Linked DNA regions of Diceros bicornis minor. The protein of the gene in region 1 binds, or shares a complex with, the protein of each later gene. Links are inferred from orthologs where the notes say so. Each region holds a gene or a part of one and is shown in the gene's direction. Other genes may lie near its edges.

Region 1 (6,970 bases):
ACACTCAAAAAACTAGGAATAAAATGGGAACTTGCTCACCTTGATAAAAGGCATCGTTGGAAAAACCCATAGCCTACTTCATATTTAATGGTGAAAGACTGACATCTTTCTCCCTAATATCAGACACAAAACAAATATGTCCATTCTTGCCACTTCTATTCAACATTAGTACTAAAGGTTCTAGACAGAGCAGTTAGAGGGAAGGAAGGGAGGGAGGGAGGAAGGAAGGGAGGAAGGAAAGAAGGGCATCTAGATTGGAAAGGAAGAATATAACTTTCTATTTTGCAGATGACAACATCTTATATATAGAAAATCCTAAGGAATCTACAAAACCTATTAGATCTAATAAATGAGTTCAGCAAGGTTGCCAGAAACAAGATCAATATCCAAAACTCAATTGTATTTCTATATACTACAAATGAACAATTTGGAAATTAATTTAAGAAAACAATTCCATTTATATCAGCATCAAAAAGAATTAAATACTTAGGAATAACTTTAACAAAAGAAGTTCATTTATACACCAAAAACTAAAAATCATCTTTGAAAGAAATTAAACACCTAAATAAATGGAAAGACATCTCATGTTCATCGATTGGAAGACAATTATTGTTAAGATGAAAATAGGCCCCAGATTGATCTACAGATTGAACACAATCTCTATCAAAAATCTCAGCTGCCTTTTTGCAGAAATTGACAAGCTGACCCTAAAATTCATATGGAAATACAAAGGACCAGGAATAGCCAAAGCAACCTGGAAAAAAAGAAGAACAAAGTTGGAGGACTTACCCTTCCTGATTTCAAAATTTATTACACTAAAGCCAAACTAATCAAGACTGTGTGGTATTGGCATAAGGATAGACATACAGATCAGGGGAATAGAATTGAGAGTCCAGAAATAAATGTGACCTCATATCTGTGGTCAATTGATTTTTGAGAAGGGGCTAAGACAATTCAACGGGGGAAAAAATAGTCTTTTCAACTAATGATGCTAGTACAACTGAATATCCACATGCAAAGAAATGAAGTTGGATGGCTTTCTCACACCATATACAAAAATTAACTCAAAATGGGTCAAAGGCCTAAATGTAAGAGTTGAAACTAAAAAACTCTTAGAAGAAAACATACGTATAAATCTTGATGATCTTGGATTAGTCAATGATTTCTTAGATATGATAGCAAAAGCACAAGCAACAAAAGAAAAAAATAAATAGACTTCATCAATATTAAAAACTTTTGTGCTGCAAAGGACACCATCAAGGAAGTAAAAGACAAACCCACAAAATGGGAGAAAATATTTGCAAATCATATATCTGATAAGGACTGGTATAGAATATATAAAGAACTATTACAACTCAACAATAAAAAGACAACCCAATTTTAAAATGGGCAAAGTATCTAAAAAGAGATTTCTCAAAAAAAAAAAAATACAAATGGCAAATAAACACATGAAAAGGGGTCGGCCTGGTGGCGCAAGTGGTTGGGTGCGCGCTCTGCTGCGGTGGCCCGGGGTTCGCCGGTTCAGATCCCGGGCACGCACTGACGCACCGCTTGGCAAGCCATGCTGTGGCGGCGTCCCATATAAAGTGGAGGAAGATGGGCACGGATGTTAGCCCAGGGCCAGTCTTCCTCAGCAAAAAGAGGAGGATTGGCAGATGTTAGCTCAGGGCCGATCCTCCTCACAAAAAAAAAAAAACCACACATGAAAAGATGCTCAACATCATTAATCATTAGAGAAATGCAAATTAAAACCACAATTAAATACTAATTACATTTATTAGGGTGGATATAATCAAAGGACAATAACAAATACTGGTGAGGGTAGGGAGAAATTGAAATCCTCAAACATTGCTAGTGGGAATGTAAAATTGTACCACTGCTTTGGAAAACAGTTTGGCAGTGCCTCAAAAACTTGAACGTGGAATTACCATATAACCCAGAAATTCCATTCCTAGCTATAATACCTAACAGAATTGAAAACATATGTCCATACAAAGACTTGTGTATGGATATTTATAGCAGTATTATTCCTAATCGCTAAAGGCGGAAACAACCCAAATGTCCATCTACTGGTAAACAGGTAAACAAACTTTGGTATTACCATACAAGGGATTATTATTCAGCCGTGAAAGGAATGAAGTGCTGATACATGCTGCAACATGGATGAACCTTGAAAACAGTGGGGAGATGGTGAGGATGGTCCAACTTTTTAAGACTTGTGTTCTACAGGGGAGCAGAGAAATAGTGTGGTAGCTGAAAGGGACAAGGAATCAGCGAGTTGCTTCTTTTTGTTTTAAGAGTTTTTCAAGCAAGTTTGTATGCTGATGGAAATGACTGCTCCTCCGATAATCCCTTTATTCTCCTGCCTTCTAGGAGCCCTTGACTAGGGGAGAGGGAATGAAGGAAGCGTTTTCCTTAAAAGGAGCAAAGACATTATAAAGGAAGCAAAGGCAGAATTTAGGTTACAGCTGCACAAATCTTGGTAGATTTGATGATGTCAACATGAGATAGAAACAGGAGATAACTTAAAAAAAAAGTGATATAGGAATGAAAATTACCAGCTGACCCAGGTGAAATTGACGGGAGGGAGGGATTACCAAGGGACAGGAGGACACTTTTGGGAGTGGTGGATTAATTCATTAATGCCATTGTGGTGATGGCTTCATGGGTGTATATACAGGTCAAAATTATCAACGTGTACAATGTAAATGTGTGCAGTTTATTGTCTGTCAATTATACTGCCATACAGAATATACCTGTTACACACACACACACACACACACAAAAGATGCAGTTGAAAGACATCTGCAGGCATTCCCTAATGAACCCTACACGGGGGGCGATAACTGACTCATAGGACTCGGAAACTTAAAGGCTCTCGAGGCTGTAAGGCCCCTGAAGGCTGTAAGGCCCGCCATCCCCCTCCCCACCCCGCAGGACGCTGGGGGTCTGGGGAGAGGGGCAGTGAGGGCAGACCGCTGCATGGCTGTCGCGTGATGAGCCGTCACGACTTCAGGGCTGGACAGTGTGGGGGGAACAGGGAGAATCTCCCTCTGCCCTTTCCCTTAAGGTTCTTCTGGCTGGCCAAATAATTAACAAGACAGGTTAGCAAGAGAAAATAATACCAAGTTTAATAACATGTATACATGGGAGAAACTCAGAAATGAGCAACTCGTCCCTCTGTCTCAGCTGCTTGCTTAAGTATTGCAGCTAAAGGCGAGGACCGTGTTGGGGGCGGGTAGTGGCCTGGGACTTCAGAGGGCAGGAAGACAATTCTTTTCAGGGTCATCTATAGATAATGTGGTCAGGGAGAGACAGAGTTTTTGATAAAAGAGGCTTGGTGCCTTTCCTGTTGTAACCTCTATCCTACATTATCTTTACAGCCATCATGATAGAAGATCTGTTCCAGGAAGGAGCCACCATGTCAAATTCTTTAGGCAGTTAGTGGGGGAGGTCAAATGTCCCTCAGAGAAAACAATCAAGGTAAAGAGATAGATTTCAGGGTGGCCAAATCTTGATCTCCCACCACAGACAGAGCCCCCCGGTGCCCAGCAACATCTGCTCTTTCCCCGGAGCCGGCCCCCCGCTGGCTGTCTCCCCAGGGTCATATCGGCATCGGATCCGGAGGGCGGTCGGGGAACAGACGGGAATCTTCGAGGATTGCTCTCCGGTCCTAAGGGACTGGGCGAATGAGCGCCAAAGAGGTCACTCGCTGAAGGGGCGGTGGAACGGGCTTCCGCCTCAGGAATGCTTCGCCGAGGGGGGCGTGGGTGGGGCGGCGAGCTGGCTCTGCACAGTCTTAAACCGGCCCGTTCCCTCCACGGTTCTGGTTCCAAGTCGACCCCATCAAGACGAAGGGCCAAGGGCCGGCGGAACTAGACAAACTACATTTCCCGGCAGGCCGTGGGCGCCGCGTCGCCGGCCTCTCTTCCCGGCGCGCGCGCGCGGGGCGGTCGCCGGCGGCCGGTGCGCAGGCAGACGCATGGATCCCGACGGCCGGTGGCGGAACCTGCCCAGCGGGCCCAGCCTGAAGCACTTGACTGACCCCTCTTACGGGGTCCCGCGGGAGCAGCAACACCCGGCGCTGCAGGAGCTGACGCGGGCGCACGTCGAGTCTTTCAACCACGCTGTGCGCGAGGGGCTCGGCCACGCGGTGCAGGTGAGCGCGGAGTCCGCGCCGGCTCCCTCGGGCCTGCGTTCGCCGGCGCCGCGGCGGAGCCCGGGCGGCCGGAGGCGAGGGGCGCGGCGGGGCTGCAGGAGGGGGTGCGTGTGGGGCGCGGGGCGGGGTGAGGGCGCCCCGCGGCCTGGGACGGGGCCGGGGAGGTCCGGGAGGCGGCGCTGAGTGGGCCCTGGGCGGAGCAGGGCGCAGGCCGGCGACAGGTCCCACAGGGATGGCCGCGAGGGCACAGTGTTGTCCCCAGCAGTCGTGCTCCTTCCTCGTGCCAGGCTCAGCGCGGGGCGTAGGCCCTGGCACCTGGAGTCGAGTCGACTAGGGGGAGATGTATTTGTGATTCCTGGATGTGCGTGTGCTCGGGAACCGTGGTGTTTTGTAGGGCGGTTTACGGGTGCTGTGCGTGTGGAACTGGCCCGTGTGGGGTGTGCTTCCGACAACCAGGCACGACCGCACTCGCTTTTTATAGCACTTGAAGATTTACCTATCCAAAACCTCAAAAGGTTCTGAAACCTATTGGTTGATAGACTGTGATGGGTAAGGTCAGCCTTCACTGTTTTCTTCTCTTAGAGCTTTCGAGGGAGAAAGTACTGGGTACCTGTTCTGAATGAGGCGGGATTAGGAGGATAAAATGAGGCATAACAGCGAGATTCAGTAGGAAAGTGCAATAGCGTTGTTAGGTGACATTTGCTCATCAGTAAGTTATTGCTCTAGAGGGTAATGGTAGCAGAGTTCAAGTGAGGATGGTGGGGGAAGGACTCATTTAGTAAGCATCCCAGCGGCTCCAGGCACCAGGCTCTGAGGGCGAGGAAGAGGCAGTCCCGTGTAAGACGCAGTTCTTGCTTTTGAGTGCTCGGTATCATGTTTTGGGAGTGGGGCGGCGGTGGTGGGGACATGATAGTAGTCACTGCCAATGCTCTTGAGAACTGCTCTGCCAAGGGGTTGTGTAGGGTACTTGGGGAGCTCTAGGGAGTGCAGCTAATCCAGGTTTTTGAGAAAGGGCAGGGTTAGATGAATTGAAGGGAGGAGGAGAGTGCATTCTCTCCAGGGGCTGTGAAGGAGCAGAGCTCAGGGGACACTGTCCTGTGGTTTTGTTGGGTAGGATCTGTGTTGTGAGAGACAGGGATAGAGATAATGTGGAGAGAGAGCTTTGCCAGTCTCTAATACTTGAACTCTATTTTGTGAATAATATGAGAGCCACTGAGGTTTCTTTGAAGATTAATACTCCCTCATGTTTTTGCAAAAGACAGGACTGGTGGGAAATACATATGTCATGCCTGGACTCCTATTGTATCTTGTCTATGAGAAAAATTATATCCAATTAAAAGTTAACTGGCACTGAGGTTTATTAAAACAATGAAAAAAAGAGTCCAAGATTGAGATGATGAAGGAGGGCTTACTCGAAAATAAAAACGGAGTGGGGCCGGCCTGGTGGCATAGTGGTTAAGTTCACATGCTCCATTTCGGCAGCCTGGGGGTTCATGGGTTCGGATATGGACCTACACGCTGCTCATCAAGCCATGCTGTGGCGGTGTCCCACGTACAAAGTGGAGGAAGATTGGCAAGCATGATAGCTCAGGGCCAATCTTCCTCAGATAAATAAATACATAAATAAATAAATACACACATAAAAAGGAGTACATGTCCATGAGAGTTTTTATGAAGGAGTAATATATAGACCAGCGGTTCTCAAACATTTTGGTCCCAGGATTCCTTTCCACTCTTTAGATTCTTGAGGTATCCCAAAGAGCTTCTGTTTATCAATATTTACTCTATAAGAGATTAGAATTGGAGCCGGCCCGGTGGTGTAGTGGTTAAGATCATGCGTTCCGCTTTGGCGGCCTGGGGTTTGCGGGTTTGGATCCTGGGCAGGGACCTGCTTACTGCTCATCAAGCCATGCTGAGGCAGCGTCCCATATAGAAGAACTACAACTCTACAACTATGATACACAACTGTGTACTGGGGATCTGGGGAGAAAAAAGAAAAAACAGGAAGATTGGCAACAGATGTTAGTGCAAGGCCAATCTTCCTCAAAAAAAAAAAAAGAAATTAGAATTGAGAAATTTTAAAAATACTAATTCATTTAAAAATAAACCAATAATATATTTATTTTTTTATTAAAAATATTTTCTAAAGCAAAAAAGAAATTAGCAGATGAAGGATATTTTTGTGTATCTTTTAAATGTCTGGCTTATTAGAAGACAGCTGGATTCTCATATCTGCTTCTGCATTCAGTCTCTTACGGTATGTTGTTTTGGTTGAAGTACATGAGAAAATCGGGCCCCACACAGATAATCCTGACACTGCAGCTTAGCTGGTACCATAATACGATTTGAAAATGTTGTCTTATAAAGCATAGTAAGGTAAGTGACTAACATTTATAGAGGCAAGGGGAAAACAGCCTCTATCATATTTTCTTTGGAGTAGATTCCTCCATTCTGTGAGTCTAAGTTGATATGTCTGTCACAGTCATCTTTTCAGAATACAGTTGATTCCCATTATTCTGGAATTCCATATCTGTGCATTGCCTACTTGCTAAATTGTATTTGTAACCCAAAATCAGTACTCACCAACATGTGCAGAGTGGCGAAAAATTTGAGTTACCCAGTGCACACGTCCCAACTGAGGTCCAACAAGGCGATGCTCTGCTTTCTCGTTCCCAGCTCTTATACTGTAGATAGGTCTCCTTTTTGAGGTCTGTTCAGTTTTTCACATTCTTGTGCTTTTTGATGGTGATTTTGCTGTTTAAAATGGCCCTCAAGTATAGTGCTGGAGTGCTGTTTAACGTTCCTAAGTGC
Region 2 (8,023 bases), on another chromosome or scaffold:
AGACCTGTACTACAAGCAATGCTAAAAGAAATTCTTTGGGATGAAAGGAGATGATGGCACATTCAATGGAAACTTAAATCTATAGTGTTTTAGTCATCCCTTACTATGTAATAAAGCTAATGGTTTAAAATGATAATAATTTATTATTTCTCTTAATACTGTGCCTTCGCTGGACTTAACTGGGTGGTTCATGAGTGCACGTGGCTGCATTCAGCTGGGAGCTTGGCCAGGGCTGAAACTTCCAAAATAGCTTCATTCACGTGTCTGGTGGCTCAGTTGTGGTGGCTGAAATGGCTAGGATGGGCCTCTCTCTCTCCAAACATTTGTCATCACAGGCATACCTCGGAGATATTGTGGGCTCAGTTCCAGACCACCACAATAAAGCGAATATTGCAATAAAGCGAGTCACACAAAGTTTTTGGTTTCTCAGTGCATATAAAAGTTATGTTTACACTATACTGTAGTCTATTAAGTGTGCAATAGCATTATGTTTAAAAAAATGTACATACCTTAATAAAAAAAATACTTTATTGCTAAAAAATGTTAACCATCATCTGAGCCTTCAGTGAGTCATAATCTTTTTACTGGTGGAGGGTCTCGTAAAAAATGCAATATTTGCAAAACACAATAAAGCAAAGTGCAGTAAAATGAGGTATGCCTGTATTCAGTAATCTAGCCTAAACTTACTTTCTTCTTGGCTGGATTCCTAGAGGATAAAAGTGGAAAGTGCAAGACTTCTTAAGTCCTAGTCTTAGAACTGGCATGGCATCACTTTTGCCATATTTTGTGCATCAAGTCAAATGACTAGCCCAGATTCAAGGGGTGAGACAACAGACTCTACTTCTTAATGGGAAAAGCAACACGCATGTACACGAGTGGGGAGAATTCCTGGCAGCTATTTTTGAAGATAATTTACTGGAAGGAATGAAAGGTACTGGAAACGGTAAAGCATAGGTAAATATAAAAGGCAATATATATTTTTCTTCTCTGAATTTCTTTAAAATACATATAACTGTTTAAAGCAAAAATAACAATGTATGTAGATATAATATAGATGACAATAAAGCACGAATGACTTGGGGGTGGTGGTAAATGGAATTATACTGTGGTAAGGCTCCTTTATTTTATGTGAAGTATCACAATTTTAACTCCAAGTAGACTGTGATAATTTAAGAATGCATATCATAATTCCTAGAAACACTGCTAAAACAATAATGCAAAGAGATATAGCTAAAAGCTAACAGAGGAATTAAAACGGAATACCAAAACATTTGATTAATCCCAAAAATGGCAGGAAGTGAAGAATAGAGGAACAAAAAACTAATGGGACAAATTGGAAACAAATAGAAAAATGATAGACTTAAATTCAAAAATATCAATTATTATAATTCATATAAATGAATAAAACACACCAATTAAAAGATAGTGATTGTCAGATTGGATTAAAAATATGTGGCTCCAACTAATTATTGTCAACAAGGGAAGTACATTAAATAAAAAACACAGATAGGTTGAAAGTAGAAAAATGGAAAAAGATATACCCCACAAACAGTAAGCTGAGAACATGGCTGTGACTATATTAATATCAAACAAACTCATTCAAGATAAAGAGTTTTATCAGAGATATAAAGGATATTTATAATGATAAAATGGTTATTTCATCAGGAAGATATAAGAACCACAAATGTTTGTGTGTTCAATAACAAAGCTTCAAAATATGTGAAGGAAAGCTGACAAAACTAAAGAAAGAGACAAATTCACAAACATAGTTTGCCATTTTAACACGCCTACCTCAGTAATTAATAGTAAGTGTTCATACGGTGATATGAAAAATCAGTAACAATGCAGAAGATCTGAACAAAACTAACAACCACCTTAACCTCATTGACATTGGTAAAACATGACACTCAACAGCTGTAGAACACACATTCTTTTCTAGTGTCCACGGAACATTTACCAAAATAGACTATACTTTGGGCAATAAAGTAAGTCTCTGAAATTTTTAAAATCTTGACATCTCACAGAGTTTGTTTTCTGACTGCAGCATAAATAAACTGGTAATGTCTAACAAGATCGACTGATGAAGAAAAAAAGATGGAAGATGCAAATGATCAATTCAGTGTTTCAGTTTTCTATTGCTGTGTAACAAACTACTCCAAAATTTAGTGGCTTAGAACAACCACCATTTTGTTACTCACCATATTGTGAATCAGGAATTTGTACCGGGCTTGGTGAGAATAGTTTACCTCTGCCCCTGTGTTGTCAACTGTACTCACTTATGCGGCTGCATTTAGCCAGTGACTGATTTGGGAGACAAGATCTGAGAAGGACTTCCTCACACATGTGGAATTAAGATGCTGACTGTCCTCTTCATGTGGCATCTCTCTGTGTGGTGTTTCATCCTCCAGGGACTCTTTTTTCCTGCAGCCTCTCTCTCCCCAGTAGGATAGCCTGGACTTCTTTGCAGAGTAGCTCAGGGCACCAAACGGGCAAAAAAAATGAAGTTGTACCTTTGAGGCCATAGTTTTTCCTCAAGTCTGGGGTGGGGTCCTAGTCCACGTATTTGGGGGAGTTTATAGTTGGATAATATTTTTCTCTATATTGTTATGTGACCTGTTTTGTTCTTATGCTTTCATTTTGCCATATTCCTTTTTTATCTTGTTCATATTATTAGCTGTGATATAGTATAGTCTACTTACGATGATGTCTTTCCAATTGTTTGGTTGTCTGAAGCTTGTTCTCTATTAGACTGCAGGGAATCTAATAAAGGGTTTATGGGAATAATTGAAGGGTTCATGGGAATAATATTCTCTAAATAACAGTTTGCAGTTTTTTTAAAAAACGTAATTCAACATCATATTAAGTTACTCTTTAGCACAATGCAATTGTAAGAACATCTTTGTTCCTTAGGATATGTTTTCTTCTAGATCAGAGTCTAGAAAGTCTTCTGCATGCATTGTTTTATGTTTGCATTTTTGTCAGACTATTTCCTTTTTTTAAATCTTATTTATGCTATTCCATGTGATATAGTATAATCATTTTCTTTTTACTCTCTTCTCCCTAACGCACTTTTTACCAGAATTGTACCATGGAAAAGAGAAGAGGTAGGTAGAGCATATAAAGATATTAGTTCTTAACTTTCTCTCTTTAGATTTATCTACCATTGCCCACAGTTGCCTGAGAACGTTAAGGTAAATCAGAAATTTCTTCCCCATTTTTGTGAGAGCATGAATTTCTAGCCACATAAAATCAGTTCTGGATTGGTTTTGGTGAAATCACACCTCATACCTTCCCATAGCAAGGCGAGCAATGTGCCCAGATCAAACCTCTAGACTAGAAGCTTATGGCTGTTATTTTGTGTGTGTGCCCTCCTGGACATTATCATTTAGGTCAGCCTTGCCTGTGGAATTAGAGTACAGGCTTGAGTGAGGCCAAGGACTTATGACACAAGGATCAGCCAAAGGAATTTTTCCTGCAAGCCCATAGCTACTGCATAGTATTTATCAAGACAACATAGAATCAAGTATTTGCAGCATTTTAAGGAGTCGCTGTACAAACTTTTATTAGACCCTTTAATCTCCTCTACAACACTCTGATTCTGCTCAAATGGTTCACTTTCAGGGTAGAGGAAATCCAAAGATTCATGTGGGAGCCTGTGCCGTTATTTGCGCAGCCTTATTTACGAACAAAATTCTTGTAATGACTTTACGCTGTTTCCCTTTAACTTTACCTACTTAGTCCTAGTTCTATTCTCTGATTCTATGAAAAAATAGTCTTACCCTTCTTTCACAGATCAACTCCACAAATTTTGGAGATACATATTATGTTCGCATGTGTCTCTGCTTTCCCAGGATCATCTTTCCTAGACCTCCTCAACTTGCCCTCATTTCACATTTAATCATCTTACTTTCGACTCCTATTTCACAGAAGTTTGGCAATTCGTTATGAAAAGTCACCCCACACGGATCCACGGAACCATCCCCCGAGAAGGAAAAAGGTATGCTTGTCCAAATTTTGGGCAGGCAGTCAGAGTCACTTAAATTCAAAGCTAGCTTTTCTTCTGTGCCAGTCGCTGTGCCAGGGGAGGTCATGTTCCTGCCATCTTGATTCTTTCTCGCTGGCTGAAACTCAGCCATGGGAAATATGAGTTGGCATGTAAGAACAAGATCCAAAGCTGCAGGAAGAAAACATGATCGAGAGTCTTCTCAGCCAGTTGAACCTGTGGTTGCTCAGCAGCCCAGTGATGAACAACCTCAACTAGAGGAACCACCAACTGAGAGTCAGGATATTATACCTGCTCAGGACATTGATGATGAAGGAGCACCTTCAGTTCACGGGCCTGATGTGGAAACTGATCAACAGGAACTGACCCTGTTGAAGACTGTGGATGAGCCTGGAGAAGGTCCTGATGTCGAGGAAGAGATTCTACCACATCTAGAGCCCATTAAAATGCCAGAAGCAGGTAAAGGACAACCACAAATTTTCAAGCATGCTGTCCTTACGGTGGAAATTTGAGAGTTAATCTCTGAATAAAGTTTTACAACTTTCTTCAAATAAAAAAAAATTCAAAGCTAAAACTTTAATAAAAGAGAAAAAACATTTCAAGGAAGCAGTTAGGCTATGTAACGATTTATCTTGTCAGGACCGCCAGCCACGCCTCCGAGGCTCGCGCAGTGCAACCCTGAGCCAAGCAGGAACGGAAAGGTCATCGTACAGTGAATTACTCGGGTAAAGTGACATTCTGCTTTTTTGACCATTCCTCTCTTCCAGGTGCCCTCACTCCCATCTTCATTTGCAGTTAAACTCTCCTATTTTGCGGCTGCGACAGACTAAGTCACAAACCTGGAGCCATCCCAAAGCGAGGGCGACAGTCAACGGTCACTTCCGGGTCACTTCCGGGGTCGAGGCGCGGACAGCCACGCCTCCACCGCGGAAGGAGGAGTTAGGGGCGGGGCTGCGTCTGCGCACCGCAGGGACGCCCGAGGCAGATTTTGCGCATGCTCACGGGAAGCACTCGCTAACTTCGCTTCCGGGGAAGGGTTCCTCACGTTGCTTCTGGAGTCGGGACCTAGAGTTTAATGTTACAGAAGAGCTCCGGCTTTAGGCAGGTAAGTGCATTCACAGTGGAACGGGAAGGGCTGTGCTAGGATTCACCTGTGTTCCTTCTGCTATCTTCTCTTGATGCTCTGAAACCTCGAGGTCCGAGAACTGGGCAGAAGGGGTGGAGAAGCTTTGGTTACCGTGGCAACCGCGTGACATCAATTTAGTCTTTGAGACTTTGGGAAGGGAGAGCTCCTTATGGAACGACGTCTTAAAATACATGTGGGTCGGTTGCAGATTCAGGTGTTATTTCAAGCCCACGCTCCTAACCCTAGCATTTGATTTTAAAAGGTTTACGTGGCTGTAATGTGGAGAAGCAAAATTCGAAGCAGGGTAACCAGAGAGAAAGCTAAAGCAGTAATCTAGACCCAGTTTGAAGGTGTCCTGAACTGGGGTAGTGACGTAGGATTGCGGAGAAGAGGGAAGACTGGAGAAGTGCTAGCAGGTAGTATCAGCAGGACCTCGTAATCCATTGGATATGGGGCCCTGAGTATCTTGAGGATCAAGTCCAGACTCAGCTTGGAAAATGGCTGTCTTTCTAGATTCCTTTCCCGCCGTCAGTTCTGCCTTCTGCCGCCTCCTCCACGCAGACCCCAGACTCTATTCATGCCAGGTAGTTTCGTGTTCTAGTTCCTATAATATTGTTCTCTCCTTTCTTGTGACGGTGGACCAGGTCACATAATTTCACTAATCTCTCAGTTTTTTCGACATGAAAATGGAAGAAAATAATAGTACTTTCCTTAGGATTTCTGTAAGGATTAAATTAGATAATTTATATGCCTGGTGTGTAGAACAGGCCCAATAAATGTTAACTCCTATTATTATTATTGGACTTACTTGTCCTATTATTTTGTTATTATGCGTCATTTTGCGTCATTTTGCTCTAGACTTGAGTATTTTTTTAATTAAAAGGTTAGTATCTATCTTTGTATGTTCTTGAAATATAATAGTAGTTAAGTTTTTTTTTTTTTGAATGGATCATTATTTTTGGCTGTAGCTGACATAATTAAATTGGTTTTTTTCTTCGAGGGAACTACTAGGTACAGTTAATTTTGTTAATCAAATGATATTTATTAGGTAAAAAGATGGTTTTTTTTTCCTGTAGAACTCAGAAGCCTGTGGATTAAGATGTACAGAGAGTAATTGATATTCTCAGTTTGGAATAGGTATGAGTGATTTCAGTGAAGAATTGATAAAGTCTGTAACAGAGGATGACCGGCGGGAAACCTGTGAGCTCTCCGGTACAGGAATGCAACTTCCTTGGCTCCAAAAGCATATAGAAACTGTGGGTAAGTAAAATAACATATAACCGTTTTAACTTGAACGCGCGGAGATGATGAGATTCAGTATGGTTACAAAAATGAATAACTAAGCTGGTTCAGTTTTCAAGATAGGAATATATGAGGTTTTTTTAAGGCTGTAAGCAAAAAAGAAATCATAAAAATATGCTTCTTTTTTTTCAGAATTCTTCTCCTTTGAATTAAGAACAGATAGTCTGTATTATGGTAGATACACATTCTTTTTTCCAGCAGTACTTACTGAGCACTTATGTCCCTGGCATTGGCTAAATATTTGAGATACATGGATGAAGAAGATATGGTCTCTGCCATTGAGGAGTACATACCTAGGAGGTGTTTTCAAGAAGTTTCTGTTGAACTGCATTGAAATAATTCCTAATAGAATTCATGTATAATATGTTTCAAAAAAAGAAATTTTCCCCCATTTTCATCTAATGTAAATAGAAGCAAGTTTTTCTATGGGATCAACTCCCTATCTGAATATATAAAAGAAGCAGTTATCTGTATGTTGGCATTTTGGGTGGTGTAGTCCTAGGAATACATGTGAACCAGCACTTTTCTTATTAGCCTCAAATACATCTTCTTAGTCTAGCCTTCTTTCCCCTTGACTGAGATTCCTTGGCTCCTAGAATTTAGCTCCTTTATCTTCTTCTTTCAACTAAGTATCATCTCATTTTATTATCTCAGTAAATTAATCCTCAGTAAATCTATGTGCTAGGCCATTTTGGAGATGAGGAAACTGAATCTCAGCGAAGTTAAACTCTAAATGTTGGTACCAGGAGTCAAACCCAGGTCTATCTGATCTCAAAGGCTGAACTTTTAGTGACTGCGATATATAAAAAAATGGGATAATATATATAAAGTGCCTAGCACAGAGCCTTGTGTGTAGTGAGTGTTGAAAAAATAATGGTTTCTTTCTTCTCTTCTCATTTTATTTTTGCTATATTAATGCACATGGTTTAAGCCAGGTTTGAATGGATTGTACTTTAGAGAGAATAGTACTTCACTCCTTGTAGGGAAGTAGTAATCTAAAGTTCCTGCTAGTTAAGGCATCCCTGGGCTTGTTTCTGTCACCAGTGTCTACAGAGAGCTTGAGTCAGTCCAGAAGCAAATAGGTTAAAGACCAGAATTTACGTGCTTAGGAGTGTTTTGTAGATTATGGATAGCCTGTTAAACTCCAAATACTTTATGCCTGCAATGAGAAGATAGTTGCAGGTAATACTGGCATTGTAGTGATAATTAACCATAATAGGAAAACACAATTGCCTAACAATTATTTATTTTTTATTTTGATAGATACCTTTTGGCATTTGGAAGGATGTGCCCCCTAGAATAAAAACTTTGAAGACATGAGCGAGTTGGGAATCAAGCTGTATGTTGAGTACCTAGAATAGTGCTTGGTGCATGGTAGTGCTCAAAAAATATTTGAGACTGACCGACGAGTTTCCAGATTCTTTCAAGGGCATTAGAAATTAGGTTTATGACACCGTCTTTATTGTATTTCATTCCATCAAAATGTATTTTCCGGGGGCTGGCCCGGTGTCGTAGCGGTTGAGTTTGCACGCTCCGCCTCGGTGGCCCAGGGTTCACAGGTTTGGATCCTGGGCTCGGACTGACGCAATGCT

The links. Proteins that work in one complex are often made in the same cells at the same time.
Region 2: POLR1B (region 1) and TAF1A share a complex: the UniProt entries of both Homo sapiens proteins name them as parts of the pol I pre-initiation complex. The link is inferred for Diceros bicornis minor from reciprocal best matches to the Homo sapiens genes POLR1B and TAF1A.

The regions. Positions count from the first base shown.
Region 1 is NC_080779.1:19,273,917-19,280,886, forward strand, and holds the start of POLR1B (DNA-directed RNA polymerase I subunit RPA2), read left to right. Parts: upstream 1-3,950; 5' UTR 3,951-3,982; coding exon 3,983-4,159; intron 4,160-6,970. UniProt on the Homo sapiens protein: Catalytic core component of RNA polymerase I (Pol I), a DNA-dependent RNA polymerase which synthesizes ribosomal RNA precursors using the four ribonucleoside triphosphates as substrates.
Region 2 is NC_080777.1:10,819,456-10,827,478, forward strand, and holds the start of TAF1A (TATA box-binding protein-associated factor RNA polymerase I subunit A), read left to right. Parts: upstream 1-5,019; 5' UTR 5,020-5,078; coding exon 5,079-5,108; intron 5,109-5,642; exon of another isoform or gene 5,643-5,713; intron 5,714-6,205; exon of another isoform or gene 6,206-6,256; coding exon 6,257-6,389; intron 6,390-8,023. Other genes in the region: putative G antigen family E member 3, read left to right, coding at 4,135-4,515. UniProt on the Homo sapiens protein: Component of the transcription factor SL1/TIF-IB complex, which is involved in the assembly of the PIC (pre-initiation complex) during RNA polymerase I-dependent transcription.